4 linked regions of the Schizosaccharomyces pombe genome follow. The gene in region 1 interacts genetically with each later gene. Each region holds a gene or a part of one and is shown in the gene's direction. Other genes may lie near its edges. The genes, in order: tma22, pnk1, utp16 and tma20.

Region 1 (3,234 bases):
TCGATTTTTTAACTTTTGAATTTCCTGCTTTACATCTCTGAAGCAAATTAAAATTGATGAGTGTATCAACAATATCCTTACTTGAATATAGTCTGTCCTAATATTTACTATGTATAAAGAAGCGGCTTATACAATTCTCATTTATTGATTAAGTTAATTTCTGTTAAGCTTTACTATGAGAATGGTGATTTGAATCCTCTTTTGGAATTAACTATGTTTAAGCTTATGTTTTGTACTGCTCCCGAGATCTTAACTGAAGCCTATCGTCACCTCGTCAATACGAATTTTTTTCAATTGTAAAGCATATGCAATAAAATATAGAATGATTATTTAATATAGGGCCTTTATATTATTTTTAAGTCTTTGTGGTATTTTGTAGGGATATACTGTCGAAATGGATTCATTTCATCCAACACCTGGAAAACCGACCACAGCAACATCAAATTCAAGTCTGAACTTTTTTGTAAGAAACAGAGAGAAAAGTATTAGGTGCTCAAGCTTGCATCAAACTTTTACAGCCCCTTCTCCTGAAGCTTCACCGTCAATCGGATTAAGATATGTAAATTACTCAATGAGCGACGAAACTGATGAATCTATGTTTCCACTTGATTCAGAACTGACCGATATGGAAGATGATGATACCGAGTACATATCAGACTCTACAACAGACTTGCCGTCCGCTGCCATGGCTAGAGGAACTAGGCAGTTGAGTTACAATGAAAATTTGGATCAGCGTTCGTTTTCTAAGACTCCAAATAAACATATTGAAGTAAAAAATTTAAAGGACCTTTGTAGTCCCTCTCATTCTGGAAGAATTTCGAAATCTTTGTGTCCTGTGTTACGAAGAAAGTCTTTGCTTCCCAAACCGAAAATGTTCCAACGCGTAGCCAGTGCCTTGTATGAAGAATCATCTCCTCTGGAGTTGGAAATCCGTAGTGAATCGGAATTTTCCAAGATGTTTTTCGAGCCTAAAAAATCATCATCCTTTGTTTCTAGAGCTGCTTCGCCTGCAATGGTAGGTCCGGGTGTACCGTTTTACAGTTCTATAACAGGTGCAAATGGTAATGTTCTCGCACCATCAGGATCTTTGAAAGCTGTTGAGAACTCTGATGTAATTGAGTCATCTGCAGAGGACAGTAGTAATACGGACAATCCATCTACTAAGCCTTCGAATGAGATGCCCATATCTCCTCTGCTTTCCAGTTCTGTATTTTTTAAGGATACAGAAATGTCAACTCCGAATAGCAATCACTCCAGATCCCGTACCCCATCCTCGAAAAAGCGAACTCGATGGGGCGAAGAAATAATCGACTTATCGAAGAGAAGAGCTGTATCTCCTTCCATTTATTATGATTTGGATAAGAAATGCTCTCCTATTCATTCTGTTATGGTCAGCCCCTTGAAGATTAAGGATACTCACGAAGTCTTGATGAATTTAAAGTTATGAACTAGCTCACGCTGCGAAGTGTGTATTTATTTGTACAATAATTGAATAATTAATTTCCTATCTTTTTACGCAACTTATTTTGTAGTAGCTTTTTATCATGTTGAATCTAGTTTACAATGTTACAGCGCCGTTATTTTTATTACTCTTTATAAAGAACAGCTTGTTATCATATCATTGTTTTGATATGTAAACAAAAGTCCTAAAAATCCGTTTACGGTTTCAGCAGCATAACATTATATTCTAAAATTTAAAACGACTTGAGATGTGAATTACTTTTTATTTAACGAATAACTTACAGCTTTTAAGCATATTTTACTCTCATAGTATATTTAGGCTTCGCCTCTTTGAATCTCGCTTTCTATTTTCGTTCCCCCAGGTAGTCTCTACTTTAACCTATACTGCAAGAAACTCAAATAATGGCTTCACAAACCATCCCGAAGTTAAAATCAGTATTATACTGCGATGTTTGTACATTGCCCGTGGAAGTACGTAATAAACAACTTGTTTTATAATTATATTAACTATGAATGCGTTGTAGTACTGCGAATTTGAGGGCACTTTAAAAAAATGTAAAGAATGGCTTAAATCATCTCACCCGGACGTTTATGATAAATTGTACGGTGAGCAAGACTTAAGCAAAGACCTTGAAAACACTCTGAATGTTAGCGGAACTAAAGATTCTAATGCAGAAGAACAACCGGCAAAATTGACGAAGGAGGAAAAGCGCGTTGAGCGTGAAGAAGCCAAACGTATGGCATCCAAGGTTTTGATAAAAACCATTGAAAGAACTAAAAGAAAGAGAGTCACCACAGTTCAAGGTCTTGACGCATTTGGGATCGAAACGAAAAAAGCTGCTAAGATGTTGGCCAACAAGTTCGCGACCGGAGCCAGTGTCACTAAAACAGCTGATAAGAAGGATGAAATTGTTGTACAGGGTGATTTGAATTATGATATATTTGATTTTATTTTGGAAAAGTTTAAAGAGGTTCCGGAAGACAATATTAAAATTGTCGAAGATACGAAATCTAAGAAGAAGCAGTAATCTTAATTTTTATTTTTTAAAAATACTACTAAGTATGCTATTTTTGGGGCTATTTTATCATAAACTGTCTTGTACAATCTTGTACAACCTAATTTTCTGTTAAATGGTTGCACAGTTAGGATACCGGTTTTTAATAATTTATTGAGACTCATGTTTTTTAATGTTTCTATATAAAAAATGCCTAATTATCAATATTTTACAATTTATTGCCTGTTGTATTAGTATGATGATTTGAAGTCACCATTTGTTTACTTACATTTCATTGCCAAGGCTATAGAGTAGTATTAGCATTCGTTGTGTATGCCATGAATTTCTTAGCAGTTAAAAATTGAAATTGTGTTTCTTTACGCCTTTTTGGACGTTATCAGCATACAAAATAAGGCAGCTTAGTAGTTCATTAAGAAAATGTTGTCTTGAATGTAGGAATAAATTATATTTTGACAAAGTAATCGATTCTACAAAGAATGCTGTGATCATTGTCACCTTTTTAAATTTGATAAAATTGATTTACTATGCAAATAGTTGTAGCTTCATTATTAACTAAGAAGAACCGTGATAATAACATTACTCAGTAGCTAGTTCTTCAGTGTACTTAACTTTCAGGGGACAGGATTTTAATATCGATACAAACACTTAAGAGATCCGAATGCGTATTTCGTTATTGAAGTTTTTGAGTCATTTGCGTTGAGGCGCATTAAGCAATGCTGATGGGGAAGTTGACGATTTCACCATTCGAACATTGCCA
Region 2 (5,988 bases), on another chromosome or scaffold:
ATATAGTCCTGTTTCGGTCAAAAATGTAGTGTCGCAGATATAGTCTATATTCTATATTATAGTGTGATACTACTACTTAAAGAGGAGAGCCAGAAATGTAGAACCATTTGTGAACGCTGGGATCAACAGGAGCAGGAGCGAGCTCTTGAGCAGGAGGAATAGTGCTGGAAACGGAAGGGTCATTGGCAACAGATCCAGTGACTGAAACATTGACCAAAGAAAAGTCAGACTTGGCATCAGTCTTACCGGTAATAAGGCGCTCCCAAGCTTCATTGCACTCACGAACAACTTCTTCAGCATACTTACGGTTCTTGCATTCACCACTGAAAGCAAAGGAATTTTCAGGCTTGCCATCGGGGATCTTGTAAATGCGGAACCACTCGTTAGTAGCACGGATTAAGCCAGGCATATGACGTTCAACATCCTCAATATCATTAAGCTTAGGAGCTAAAGGGTCATTAACGTCGATGACAATAACCTTCCAGTCAGTCTCACCCTCGTCAAGAAGGGCCATAACACCCAAGACCTTAACTTGCTTGACTTGGCCGGTGTAGCCACGAGCTTCACCGATCTCACAAACATCGAGAGGATCGCTATCACCCTTGGCCTTGGTTTCAGGATGAACAACATTAGGATCCTCATAGGTTTGAGGAAAAGCACCGTAGTTCCAAATGTAACCGTGGTGAGGAAAGCAGTTACGAACGAAACGAAGCTTACCCTTCTTAGTATCTTGCTTGATAGGGTTCAAGGTAGCTTCCTTGGTAATTTCAAGCTTAGCCTGAGTCCAACGAGGGATCTCAACGACCATGTTCAAGATGGTCTTCTCAGCATTGGCATACAAGGGGATATCGTGCCAAGAAGAGATAGGAGTACCATTTTTCTCAACATAGACTTGGTAGTCCAATGTGTTCAAAGCGCCAACTTCACGGGTAGTGTATTCACTCATGACTGAAAAGTGTTTTTGGTTAAGTACAGGTTGCAATGTGCACTAATTCGCAACATCTGCTACAAAATTTGTAACTCAATGTATACAAAAAATCTTATATTAATTTATAAAATTTTCTAAGGAACAGGTTTATATTTTTAATATCGCATGTTTTTATTTTATACAGCATAAAGATGGATTTGTGAATCTTACATAGGGTAATACTGTTATAAAGTTACTTTCTTTAGCAATACTTTATTAAATGATTGATAGTAAAGGAGATTTCCACAACATGATAAAAATTTAGCACAAATAAATTATTAAAATTAAATTGTTTTACGAGAATTTATCAATTTTTTATATTAAACACAATCAAAGATATTTATTAGCCTTGTATGCAGGTTTCTTTTCTGTCGATATGGATCTTGTGGAATACTGATTTTGCGATCAGTAAATTCTTGGCTGATGCAGTAGAAGCCATAATGTTTATATAAAAATATACGAAATATTTAAATTAATTAATTATGGAAATTTTTGTTTTTAAATTCCAGATCAGCTACTAAAAAAGATAAATGACAAACGAAAAAATAATGCAAAAAAAAGCTCATACATAAAAACAAAATATTGCCGATGTCCTTCATTTTTTGTTTAAAAATAAACGGTTTAATTTTAAACGATACCAAAAAAAAAAAACTAATGTTCGTAAATAACGAGATATGCAATTGTTAATGAATAAGATGTAGGTCTCAAATATGTTATTTGTGAAATCTTTGAATGGTTGCCAAATAATAAATTAGACGAATAAATTAAAGAATTTTCTTGTTATTTATTGTCTAAATTTCTTCGAATAAGAATTATTTTCAAGTCAGTAAACATATTAAATCTTCGATTAAGGACTATATGATATAATATATCTTCTCACTAATTGTTGTATATGAGGCATTTTATGTAATTGATCAAAAACAATTGAAAATTCAATAGAGCGAAAAATAAAATTTTCATCTGTTATCCATTTTTAAGTATGTTATTGAAACCACCCATTTTCATTGCTATGCAATTATAATATAGCTAACTCAATTACCAAGTCCCATTTAGTATTTCGTCAATCGCGATGTCGTCGAAAAAAAGAAAGTCTCCCCCCCAGGAATCTTTAACTTCATATTTTGAAAAATCGTCTAAATCCTCAAAAAAGTACGGCTCTCAAAACAAAGATTCTGATTCATCCTCGACATGCCTTCAACAGAAAATAGAAATTCAATGGAGCATCACCGATTCATTATACATAGCAAAGTATGGAAAACTAAAAAAGACTAAAAAATTTATTGCATTTGATTTAGATGGAACGCTCATAAAAACTAAATCTGGTAGAGTATTTTCAAAAGATGCAGCTGACTGGACCTGGTGGCATCCAAGCGTTGTCCCAAAATTGAAGGCTTTATACCAAGACAATTATTCTCTTGTTATTTTCAGTAATCAAAACGGAATTCCAAGAAAACCTTCTGCCGGACATACCTTTCAGATGAAGATTCGTGCTATTTTTGAGTCATTAGATCTACCTATTGTATTGTATGCTGCCATCTTGAAAGATAAGTTTAGAAAACCATTGACAGGAATGTGGAATTCCTTTTTAAAAGACGTGAACCGTTCAATTGGTGAGTTGACGCTTGTAATTTATCAAGGCCTATTAACATTTTTCACCCTTTAGATTTATCTTTCATCAAATACGTAGGTGATGCTGCAGGCCGTCCGGGTGATCATAATTCAACTGATTTAAAGTTTGCTGAAAACATTGGGATTAAATTTGAGACGCCCGAGCAATTTTTCTTGGGGCATTCATTTGTGCCTCCAAACTTTGAATCATTTCATCCAAAGAATTACCTTGTAAGAAATTCTTCTTCACATCCATACCATTTTAAAAAATCCGAGCATCAAGAAATTGTTGTTTTAGTTGGGTTTCCTTCTTCTGGGAAGAGTACTTTAGCTGAATCTCAGATTGTCACTCAAGGATACGAAAGGGTAAATCAAGACATCTTAAAAACGAAATCAAAATGCATCAAGGCTGCCATAGAGGCACTTAAAAAAGAAAAATCGGTTGTCATAGGTATGTACTCGATCATTTCAACGACTTACGCGATTTCAGACAACACAAACCCTACAATAGAATCACGAAAAATGTGGATTGACATAGCCCAAGAATTTGAGATCCCTATACGCTGCATTCATCTTCAGTCATCTGAGGAACTTGCCAGACACAACAACGTTTTCCGTTACATTCACCATAACGTAAGTTACCTGTTGGAGCATTAGAAAGACTTAGAAGAATTCCTAACCAATTCTAGCAAAAACAACTTCCCGAGATAGCGTTTAATTCTTTCAAATCTCGTTTTCAAATGCCAACAGTAGAAGAAGGTTTTACAAATGTTGAAGAAGTTCCTTTTAAATGCCTTAAAGACTATGAAGATACATGGAATTATTGGTACGAATAATACGAATGATATCTAAGAAATTATTAAATTGCATTAATTTCAAAAATATATAGTTATTGATCCCACTAAAACCAAACGTTTATAAAAATTATGACTAGCACACTTAACACCGAAATTTATCTTCAAAGCTTTAGCTGATTTGAAGAAACAATCGGATGATATTTGTTTGAATTACTTGCAACCTTTTTGCGCTCACCTCCTTTACCAATGACCTCAACATTCGATTTTGATAATTGACGAACGACTTGTTCAGTACCGGAATTCCTTCTTTTCTCAGCCATTTGCTTACGTTTCTCAGCATGTTTTCTACGCACCCGCCTGCGGCGTGCTTGCTTTTGTTGGTGGTCCATTTCAGTCGATGAAATGGCGATACCTGACCGAGTAATAGTTTCACCTTCACGATTCTCATTAGACGGTTTATAAACTTCTTGAGGAGCCAATGCCATAGTGTCAGAGGCAGCAGTTGGCTGAACGTCCTCCATTGCTAAAGTGGGTGCATTAGAAACAATTTCAACAGTAGACTCAGGAGGAGGGGGAACATAATGCCAAGAAGCAAGAGAATCTAAAGTGCGGCTGACTTCCGAAAACAATGCCTTGATTTCTTCATGTTCTTTTTCTTTCTTTTTATCAGCTTCACTCTTATATGTGTCGGCGTTGCTCTTTTTAAGGAATTCTTCTTCATATTCTTCTGCTAAAGAACGCTGAGACTTATTTTCGTTTAACTCGAATAATTCGCTTGGTCGAAATTCAGTAACAGCAACTGGCGCGCGTTTAGGTACATCATCAAATGTTTTGGAAATAATTCGGTTTTTAATTAAATCTTCTAATGTCTCAGTAGTCTCTTCCGTTTGTACAGGGACAGGTTTAGCACCAGTTTCAAATTCCAAATCAACGTCTAACAGTGAATTAGAAGGTCGTCCTTTAGACGTTGCCTCCCCCATCATGGTCCAGGACTTCTTGGCAACGTTTTCAGCCTCGAGCTCACGAATTTGCTGAGTCAAACGGGCTTTATCGCGCTCATAAGAAGATAATTGATCAGCTGAAACATCGTCTTCTTCGTCACTAGCAAATAAATCTTTCTTCACTCGATCAAAGGTAGCATACTCATTGTCAGAGCTCTCATTATTTTCTTCAATAACATTTTGTTGCACATCATTTTTGAAATCCGGTTTACTTGTTCTTTTTCTTTTGGATTCGGCCTTTTTCTTTTTTAGTTCACGGCGACCGGCCGCTGTTTTTGGACCAAAAAAATCTTCGTACATAATGGAGTCAGCCTGAGGACCATTTGATTCATCTTCAGAGTCTTCCATATTCTCATCGGGATCCATTAACAAGTCAATACCGTCATCTTCATCGCCGAGGACACCCTCTTCGACTGCTTCCTCTTCTAAAGCTAAGGTTTGCTTGTTAAAATTATCAATATCAAAAAAACCATCATTAAGTCCAAATGCGTCTTTTTTCTGTTCGATTTGTTGTCCTTCTTCATTCATAATTTCAGCTTCATCTCCTGAAACATCTTCGGCAGAACTTTCGTCGACATCTTCTAGATTTTCTGGACCAGAGAACCCTAAAAATTCATCATCAGCATCATCCCGATTGTTCATTTCACTATTGTCAGAGAGTTCCTGATGACTTGTTTCATCATCCTCATCCTGGAAAGAAGTAATGCTATCTTCTTCTTCGTCTTCGTTTTCAACATCAACTTGAGGGAGATCATCTAATGCATACTTGGCAGCTAATGCTAGTTGGTTATATATTTGCCAATTATCTAATCCTTTTGTGACAATTGTTTGGATGGGACTTGTAGATGGGATTTTTATATTTGAGAAAACCTCAATAGCTTTTTCAACCAATTGCTTTGAATCCTCTTTATTCGGGAACAAAAAGAGTGTTGGCTCGGAATTTATAAGTTCAGTCATATCAAATCTTTTTTTTTTTTTAAATCTCACAAAACTTTGACTAAATATCTTGGAAGTATTCCAAGTACGAAACAAATAAATACCAATTGAGCTTAAATATTACACACCAAACCTTTTGCAAAGTACTTGCAACTCCTTTTTCCAAAATAATCAAAAAGACGTATGTTTTTTGTTTTAGATGTTTTTTCTTTTTTGTAATGTAGTAAAATTTTAGTAAGTATGGGCATCAACAATTTACTTAGTGAAGCGTTGCGTACTATATTATATAAGAAGGGTAGGGTTTGTGACTGTTTTGGACATAAAGCTAAGTTCACCTAAATCCAACACACAGTTCGCCGCAACCTCTATACTACAAAATGGGAAAACCCGCAGGATTGAACGCCGCTCGTAAGCTTCGCAATCATCGCCGTGAGGAGCGTTGGGCCGATGCTCATTACAAGAAGCGCTTATTGGGAACCGCTTACAAGTCATCACCTTTCGGTGGATCGTCTCATGCTAAGGGTATCGTTGTCGAAAAGATTGGTGTAGAAGCTAAGCAACCTAACTCTGCTATTCGTAAATGTGTTCGTGTTCAGTTGATCAAGAATGGTAAGAAAGTTACCGCTTTCGTTCCCCACGATGGTTGTCTCAACTTCGTTGATGAAAACGACGAAGTTCT
Region 3 (3,922 bases), 680 kb from region 1:
GACCGTCAAAAGCACCACGGTTACCTTTGCGAAAATTCCTTTTCATTCCATTATAATTATCGTTGGACTTCTTATCTCCCGATTTGTTGAATTTACCGGAAAAAAGACGGCGTCGTTCTTCTATGTTCAGCGTGGCATTGTTAATTTGCAAAGTTTTTTTGTTCAAAGCCAATTGCACGCATTCATGGTTGACAAAATCAACATATGCGGTGCCTTTGCGACGAGCAAACTCAATAGCCTTGACTGGTCCAAAAATGCTCATAGCAGATTTCAATGACACATCAGATGTTTCGGGAGGAATGTTCTTGACGAATACAGATGTCTCCAACAGTTCATTACTCTGAGTGTACGGCGCTGTTGGCTGCTGAGTTTGGTCAGCATTAACACCTTTAACTGTTTGACCAGTTGTAGACGCAGTAGAACTAACTGATGCTTGGGATTTCACATCAGGATGATTACGAGCTATGAGATCAGCCCAAGATTTAGGTGCTGTAGCAACATTTGCATCGCTAGCCCCTATAGCATCAGCATTCTTCGAGTTTGAAGTCAGAGCTTCATCTTGAAGCTGATTTTCCTGCTGAGAAACAAAACTTGGGACTGAGGCTTCCGTAACTTGGATAACGGGTTCTTCAGGAACAGCCAAAGTAGCTTGATTTAGACTGTCGGTCTCATTTGATATAAGAGCGGCTGTGGCAAAATTATTTTCTGTAGCAGCTGGATCCTGGTAATGGCCTTCTTCTTTTGCAGAAGGTAAATGTTCTTGAGATTGCACGCCATTTACGTAAGGTTCAGAAGCAACATCTTTTTTCTCTTTTTCAACAGCATCAGGTGACTCCTCTTCTTCCTCAACATCTTCACGCAAAAAACGGAAAATATCGTTTAAAACAAAATAACCATTTGGTTGTTCTGCAAGGAAAAATGTTTGAGCAAATTTTCTGGATAATTTCCCCTTATTAGACATTTCACCCAGGACCTGGATGACAATGCCACCATTCGAAGAAGCCAAACTGTCAACGTTTGAAATAAGTACTTTGCAATTTTGAAAGTCCAAGTCCAATATCTTGTTATGAATTTCCTAACACGTTAATAAAATGACTATTGGGCAAGACAACGATCATAGAGTTTCGAAAATCGCAAGCAGAATATCACAACCTCAAAAACTTTACATATAAGAATTGTGTTAAAGCATACCTGTTGTCCATGACAAAGACTAATACTCTCGCCTTCGTCTCCGTGAATTAAAGTTGACTTTTTAGTATAGAAACACTGTATTACAGTTAGTACGGTTCACAAGTTGAAGAAAAAAAAACTTTTGGTAAATTATGACGACCTACATGAAGACGATTGGGTTCTTTATTTAAATATGTATAATATTCTTGAACGAACATCCATCCTATCTCATCCTTTCCCAAAACTGGTTCTAATAATGTGGCATTTTCCGCAGTCATGTTTTATTTAACTGTGACAATAGCTATACAAAGAACAGAAAATCTGGCTCTAAAAGACCCAAAACAAAATTCGGTCGTGTCTTATGTTTTCCGTGCGTTGGTCTTTTTAATGTCCCATCTCCTTGCTTTCAATGTCCGTGATTACAGCATTTCGTAATTGGATTTAACGAGACTAAACGATATTTCTGTTGATCTTTTACATTCAACTTGTTCGCATAAGTAAGTTAGTTGATGGAAAGAGAGACCTTTTGGTCAGAAAATTGTTTGGTTTTTCATTTCAACAAATAACATAAACATCATATGATTTACCATAGATCAAAGTTGCATATATTTCTTTCTATTATTGTTTTGCAAATTGATTATATTAGAAACGTTAATTCATTGGAAACCACTAAACATTTTGAATAGTAATACGACTATATACTGTGCTAGAGAGATTAACCTGCTAATGATTTTGCCAAAAGTCAATTAGTTTAACAGCTTTAAATGCAATCGTCTAGAAAAATTATGATACTAAAAAGAAAGTATGCGAGCCTTTAAATCATTTAATTAACGAAAATTGAAATTACTTTCTTCTTCTTATTTACCAGCATTAAAGGGTTAAAATCTAGTGCTATAATTGCAACGTATCTTACTTTAAATAAATTATTTATTGATAAATTTTGTAAGACTCAGGAAAGTACCTATCCTATCCATTTTGTTCACTGCCATTTTGGTGGCATTAAGAAGTTTCACTCGCATTGCCAGTTATCCTCCTCCTACACCAATTCAGGTCAAAAAAGTTTCAAATCCTTTAATAGTCTTCGTTTTATAGTATTAAAATCCAAAACTTGTCTGTTAAGGTATAAACTTCTGATAAAGACATTTTGTTGCATTACTTATTCGAAAATTGAAAATTTGTCAAATACTAGAATGGCAAGATTGACTGCCCCAAGCAAAGGTCCTTCATTTTCAAATTTAAACAAACCAAATGATTTGTTGAAAGCGGAAATTGAAGATAATGAAGCCTCACACTACTCTCAAAATCAATCATCTGACAGTGATTCTGATGAAGCACCTGAAGAAGTTTCGCTGAAGAGCAGCAGCGATGAGGTAAAAAAGAGACTTCAACGTCTGAAAGGGAATGAATTACAGTAAGTTTTAATAAACGGAATGAGGGAAACACTTAAAAATACTATTTGTTTTGGTTTGAGACAGAATAATAATTTGTTTGATAAAAGTTCGACTGCTCATTTCGTTTCCTTGCTTTTGATAGTATTATTTTTAACACATTTTAGGCTTCGAAAAGCTGAAAGAGAAAAACGTAGACTGCAAAATGAAAGAAATCGTGAAAGAAATGCCCAACGGGTAAGCGCATCAAAGTTGGATTTGGCTATTCTTGAGGCAGCTGAAGTTGAAGAAATTAATAGTACCACGGAAATCGAAGAAAAGGTTGACGAAGCAAGCCTTGACCTATATACTCCAAAAGGACATAAAATTGTTTTTCCTAATAACGAAATTCCTAAAAAACGTACTCGTTCATTTCGTAAAGGTGATTTTAAAGTGAGCGTTCTTAAAGAAACAAATGACCCTTTACTAGCGCCGAACTATGAAAAGAAACTGTCACAGCGTAAACGGGATTGGATAAATCGACAATCAGTTCCCCGGGCGTCTAAAAGACGACGTCCCTTGACTTATTAATTTTCCTTTCTCTATTTGGCAACACATTCGCTGTAAATTGAAAGTCAGGCACAAGCATTGCATTTTCTGTTAATATAAGGGTTTACTTTTTTGTTTATTAATAATATTGGTTGGGAAAAGGTTGTCTGGGTTCTAAAACATTCATTATTTGAAGCTTTGGACATGCTAAGTGCAGTTTACGGCTGTTTTTTTGGTAAATGTTTAACATAGTATTTTTAAAAATAAACACTTTAGACAAACATGAGTTAATTAAAGTTGTATCAAGGATTTATTGCCATGCACTAGAGGAAATTCGCTCATGTAACGTTTCGTACATCATAGATATTATAGATATCAGTAGCTATAGCTCATAAGGCCAAAATTTGCATAAATATATTATTAATTGTCTAGTGTATGAACATTTACTACTTATAATTATAAAATATTTGCATATAAATTTCTGAGATGGTTTGTACTTTCGACTACTTGCACTAGGCAAACTTCGCTTTTTAGCACCACAAAAATTTTGTCACTTCAAAGCATTGTTGACCTTCACCTCTGCAGCCATGTCGGCCCAGGATGTCGAAAACGCAGTAGAAGCAGCATTAGATCCTTCTGTAGGACCAATAATAAAGCAACAAGCTACAGATTTTATTGGTAGCCTTAGAAGCTCATCTACAGGTTGGAAAATATGCCATGAAATTTTTAGTGAAAAAACGAAATATAAACCATCAACAAGACTGATTTGCCTTCAAACTCTTAGTGAGAAAGTTAGAGAATGGAACAATGAAAGCAATTTGTTAGAGTTACAGATG
Region 4 (3,193 bases), 560 kb from region 1:
AAATTATATAAAGCGCGAGCACGATCACTATCTCCAAGCTTAGTCTCTAAGGCAGCGTAACCAAGCCAGGGAGCACAAGCCTCGGGATCATAAAGAATCCATTTTTCATAAAGAATTCGACACCTGTCAAACTGCTTAATTGCGTCTTCGAATTCAATATAACCTCGGAATAATTTTGGTTTTGGACACATTCCCAACGCACGACCCAACGTTTTTCTAGCAACATCAATCTTACGTTGCCTAAGCTCAAACATTGCATACATGAGCCATAATTTGGCAAATGTAAATTTTTTATGGGGTATAAGCTTGAGAGCTTCTTGGTAAACCTTTCTTGCGCGGTCAACGTCCTTCACATCTATCTCTTCAAATAAGCAATAGTTTAACCAAATATAAACGTAACGTCTCCATGCGTTCTTTTCAACTACTTCAGGAACCTTAGCAATAGCTTTTTCGTAGGTTTCGCGAATAGTATTAATATCCCCTGCACTTTCTTCGAGCTTCAGCAAATCAAGCCAAGTGTCATAGTCATAAGGAGAATCCTTCAATAGCTTTTCGTATTGTAATCGACGCTTATCGAGCACAGTAGACTCAACGCCCAAATGATCTCCAAATTGTTTTTCAAAATGAGTGTATTCCTTATATAGTTCCATAGATTTTGATCGGGGCATAAAATCAATTGCATATTTGAAAATGGTGCGAGCTCGTTCATATTCCTTTTGACGAATTTCGAATTTTGCAAAAGCAATAAAAAACCGTTCATTCAGAAACTCCTGACCAAGAGCATCTATAGCAGCCAAATAGACTTGGCGAACGTTTGCAGCATTTCCGCATTCTTCTTCAAAACGAGCCCAACGAAGCCAATTCGTTACTTCAGGATGCACAACGACAAATCGTTCATATATGCCACGAGCCCGTTCGTTTTCATGGTACCTCCTCTCCATTCGAATATAACTCATCCAACAGTTTTCATCAGGCTCCCACTTAAGCCATCTTTCAAATACTTGTCTACAACCGGTGATATTTCCTAACATTTCCTCCATATATACGTATTTGTACCATAGTTTATCAACACGGGGAAGCTGTGTAACAGCACGATCAAATAAATTTCTGGCATGGTTGATATTTCGATTCTTCATTTCGCATTCAATATATTTCAGCCATAACGGTATATAAGTAGAATCTACATCCAAAGCTCTTTCAAAAACAGAGCGAGCTCTCGCAAATTCTTTTTGGTCTAATTCCCACTGACCATATCGCATCCAATGGCCCATAGCGAGACGATTCCGTCGAATGGCATCTTCAAATTCTTTACGTTTTCGACCTTGAAATTCTTGAAGCTCCTCAAGATCAGTGATATTAATTTTTGGAGGAACAAACGCCACATCTTGTCGTTCTACAGCTTCTCGGAGCAATTGTTCAGCTGAGATTTGGATGGGTGCTGGGTTCTTATTTTTTACCCTGGGCGCTTCCGAAGTCATCTTATATTATTCTGGATCTCTATAGTGTACAATTACTCAATAAATAATATGCTAGATTTATGTCTTCTCTTAACCAGTTGGCTTTTACTGTTAGAAGACAAAAACGTGCACAAATATGAATGAATATATCTAACGTTTGTAACCCTCGAGGTGGTAATCGGCAACACCGCGGATCATCCGAGAGGAGACCGCGGCTACAACCTAGTAACTTATTGTAGCAATGGTCTGCAGCTCCTATATACTCAATAATATGTTCAAACGGTATTGCTCTAAATTGGATTTATAATTTTGTAGGATGATTGCTAACCTCAACAGATTTAACTCTAGAGAAGATATAAAGGGAACTACTCCAATCAAGTCTTCTATTCAAAGAGGAATAAAAGCAAAACTAGTACAAGCTTATCCTAACTTAAAACAAGTTATCGATGAGTTAATTCCCAAAAAATCACAACTAACTCAAATAAAATGGTTCGTTCTTATCAGCATCCGTGATTTTTAGTATGTCGTACTGATATTGTTTAAGTGAGGATCGTTTATTTTTGTATACTTTGAATGGCGAAATTATCCTTTTCCAGCACTTCGACGGCCCTATCATTCCTTCTCTTCGTCTTGTTCATAAATGTGAGTATAAGCTAACGTAACCGCAACGTTTGATTGGAGTTCTGGTTTTTGTCTAGCTGGTCAGAATCGACAACAACATATCTGTGTTTAGTTCAAATATATACTAATACGCCTAGGTCCGGATGCCTTTACTCAAGTTCGAGTAGACAGAGGAGCTATCAAATTCCTTCTCTCGGGTGCCAATATTATGATTCCTGGCTTGGTTTCCAAAGGCGGCAATTTGCCTGATGACATCGAAAAAGATCAATATGTGATTGTTACAGCTGAGGGAAAGGAAGCCCCTGCTGCAATTGGGCTTACAAAAATGTCTGCTAAAGAAATGTAATATACTATTGACACTCATAACTTGAACTATTAACTAACATGCTTGAATTGTTTAGGAAAGAGACTAATAAAGGAATCGGCATAGAAAATGTGCATTATCTTGGCGACAACTTGGTATGTGATTTACATTTTAAACCATTTATAATTTCCTCTTGCTTATTGGAATGTAATGTTAACTAATATTCACAGTGGAAGACTATTTTAGAATAACATCTATAGTATAAGACATTAAAAGAATAAAATTAATGCATTATTTTGCTTTCAAAACTATTCAGATTTTTCCAATGAGTATTGTATTAGACTTAAACAGAATGCAAGAAAGAAAAGTCAAATTTAAAATAGCCTCAATTTTTTTCAGGTTGATGCGTATTTTTCTATTAATTTGTTTGCACGATCAAATTCATTATCAGTTTGTACTGCTTGTCGTAAAACCACTAACATTTTTGCAACAACTTCTCTTCCTGATAATTTAATTGAACATTTTGTTTGAGTTCGTAGCTCTCCTAAAAATTCCTCCAATTTTTGCCAAAGACCATGATGCATTAATAGTCTGACATAAACTTCGCTTGTTACTAAAAACTCATCATCCAACTTAAGTAATCGAGCAGAAGCGATTTTGTTTTCTAAATGATTAATAGTAACTATGGTCTCAAAATCATCATAACCTTCTTCAGTGATTGCATCAGCTACCATTTTTTGTAATAGTTTTCCTCTTCCAGAATCCATTAAAACATTATTAGTTCGGTGTTCATATATTTTGAGCGGCTGAC

The links.
Region 2: mutations in tma22 (region 1) and pnk1 together harm fitness more than expected from each alone (negative genetic interaction), as found in Schizosaccharomyces pombe (2 studies listed by BioGRID).
Region 3: mutations in tma22 (region 1) and utp16 together harm fitness more than expected from each alone (negative genetic interaction), as found in Schizosaccharomyces pombe (2 studies listed by BioGRID).
Region 4: mutations in tma22 (region 1) and tma20 together harm fitness less than expected from each alone (positive genetic interaction), as found in Schizosaccharomyces pombe (2 studies listed by BioGRID).

What each region holds. Positions count from the first base shown.
Region 1 is NC_003423.3:4,333,756-4,336,989, forward strand, and holds tma22 (mitochondrial translation initiation factor), read left to right. Parts: upstream 1-1,837; 5' UTR 1,838-1,863; coding exon 1,864-1,932; intron 1,933-1,985; coding exon 1,986-2,489; 3' UTR 2,490-2,725; downstream 2,726-3,234. Other genes in the region: protein Dbl6, read left to right, coding at 395-1,447.
Region 2 is NC_003424.3:2,135,487-2,141,474, reverse strand, and holds pnk1 (DNA kinase/phosphatase Pnk1), read left to right. Parts: upstream 1-2,007; 5' UTR 2,008-2,036; coding exon 2,037-2,577; exon of another isoform or gene 2,578-2,600; intron 2,601-2,630; coding exon 2,631-3,026; intron 3,027-3,065; coding exon 3,066-3,208; intron 3,209-3,264; coding exon 3,265-3,411; 3' UTR 3,412-3,533; coding exon of another isoform or gene 3,534-5,330; 3' UTR 5,331-5,441; downstream 5,442-5,988. Other genes in the region: ipp1 (inorganic pyrophosphatase), read right to left, coding at 77-946; mpp10 (U3 snoRNP-associated protein Mpp1), read right to left, coding at 3,534-5,330; rps23 (40S ribosomal protein uS12), read left to right, coding at 5,687-5,988. UniProt on the Schizosaccharomyces pombe protein: Catalyzes the phosphorylation of DNA at 5'-hydroxyl termini and can dephosphorylate its 3'-phosphate termini. Has a role in the repair of breaks in single-stranded DNA.
Region 3 is NC_003423.3:3,649,833-3,653,754, reverse strand, and holds utp16 (U3 snoRNP-associated protein Utp16), read left to right. Parts: upstream 1-1,934; coding exon 1,935-1,972; intron 1,973-2,017; exon of another isoform or gene 2,018-2,038; coding exon 2,039-2,581; exon of another isoform or gene 2,582-2,725; coding exon 2,726-3,128; 3' UTR 3,129-3,394; downstream 3,395-3,922. Other genes in the region: ubiquitin protease cofactor Nxt3, read right to left, coding at 1-1,075, 1,192-1,266, 1,335-1,448; karyopherin exportin-T Los1, read left to right, coding at 3,674-3,922. UniProt on the Schizosaccharomyces pombe protein: Functions as part of the small subunit (SSU) processome, first precursor of the small eukaryotic ribosomal subunit that coordinates the first two steps of ribosome biogenesis in transcription of the primary transcript pre-RNA and pre-18S processing.
Region 4 is NC_003423.3:3,771,580-3,774,772, forward strand, and holds tma20 (RNA-binding protein Tma20), read left to right. Parts: upstream 1-1,717; 5' UTR 1,718-1,728; coding exon 1,729-1,739; exon of another isoform or gene 1,740-1,793; coding exon 1,794-1,946; exon of another isoform or gene 1,947-2,001; coding exon 2,002-2,099; exon of another isoform or gene 2,100-2,215; coding exon 2,216-2,420; intron 2,421-2,479; coding exon 2,480-2,537; intron 2,538-2,558; exon of another isoform or gene 2,559-2,612; coding exon 2,613-2,633; 3' UTR 2,634-2,693; downstream 2,694-3,193. Other genes in the region: protein Cwf4, read right to left, coding at 1-1,478; histone chaperone Hip1, read right to left, coding at 2,778-3,193. UniProt on the Schizosaccharomyces pombe protein: Involved in translation.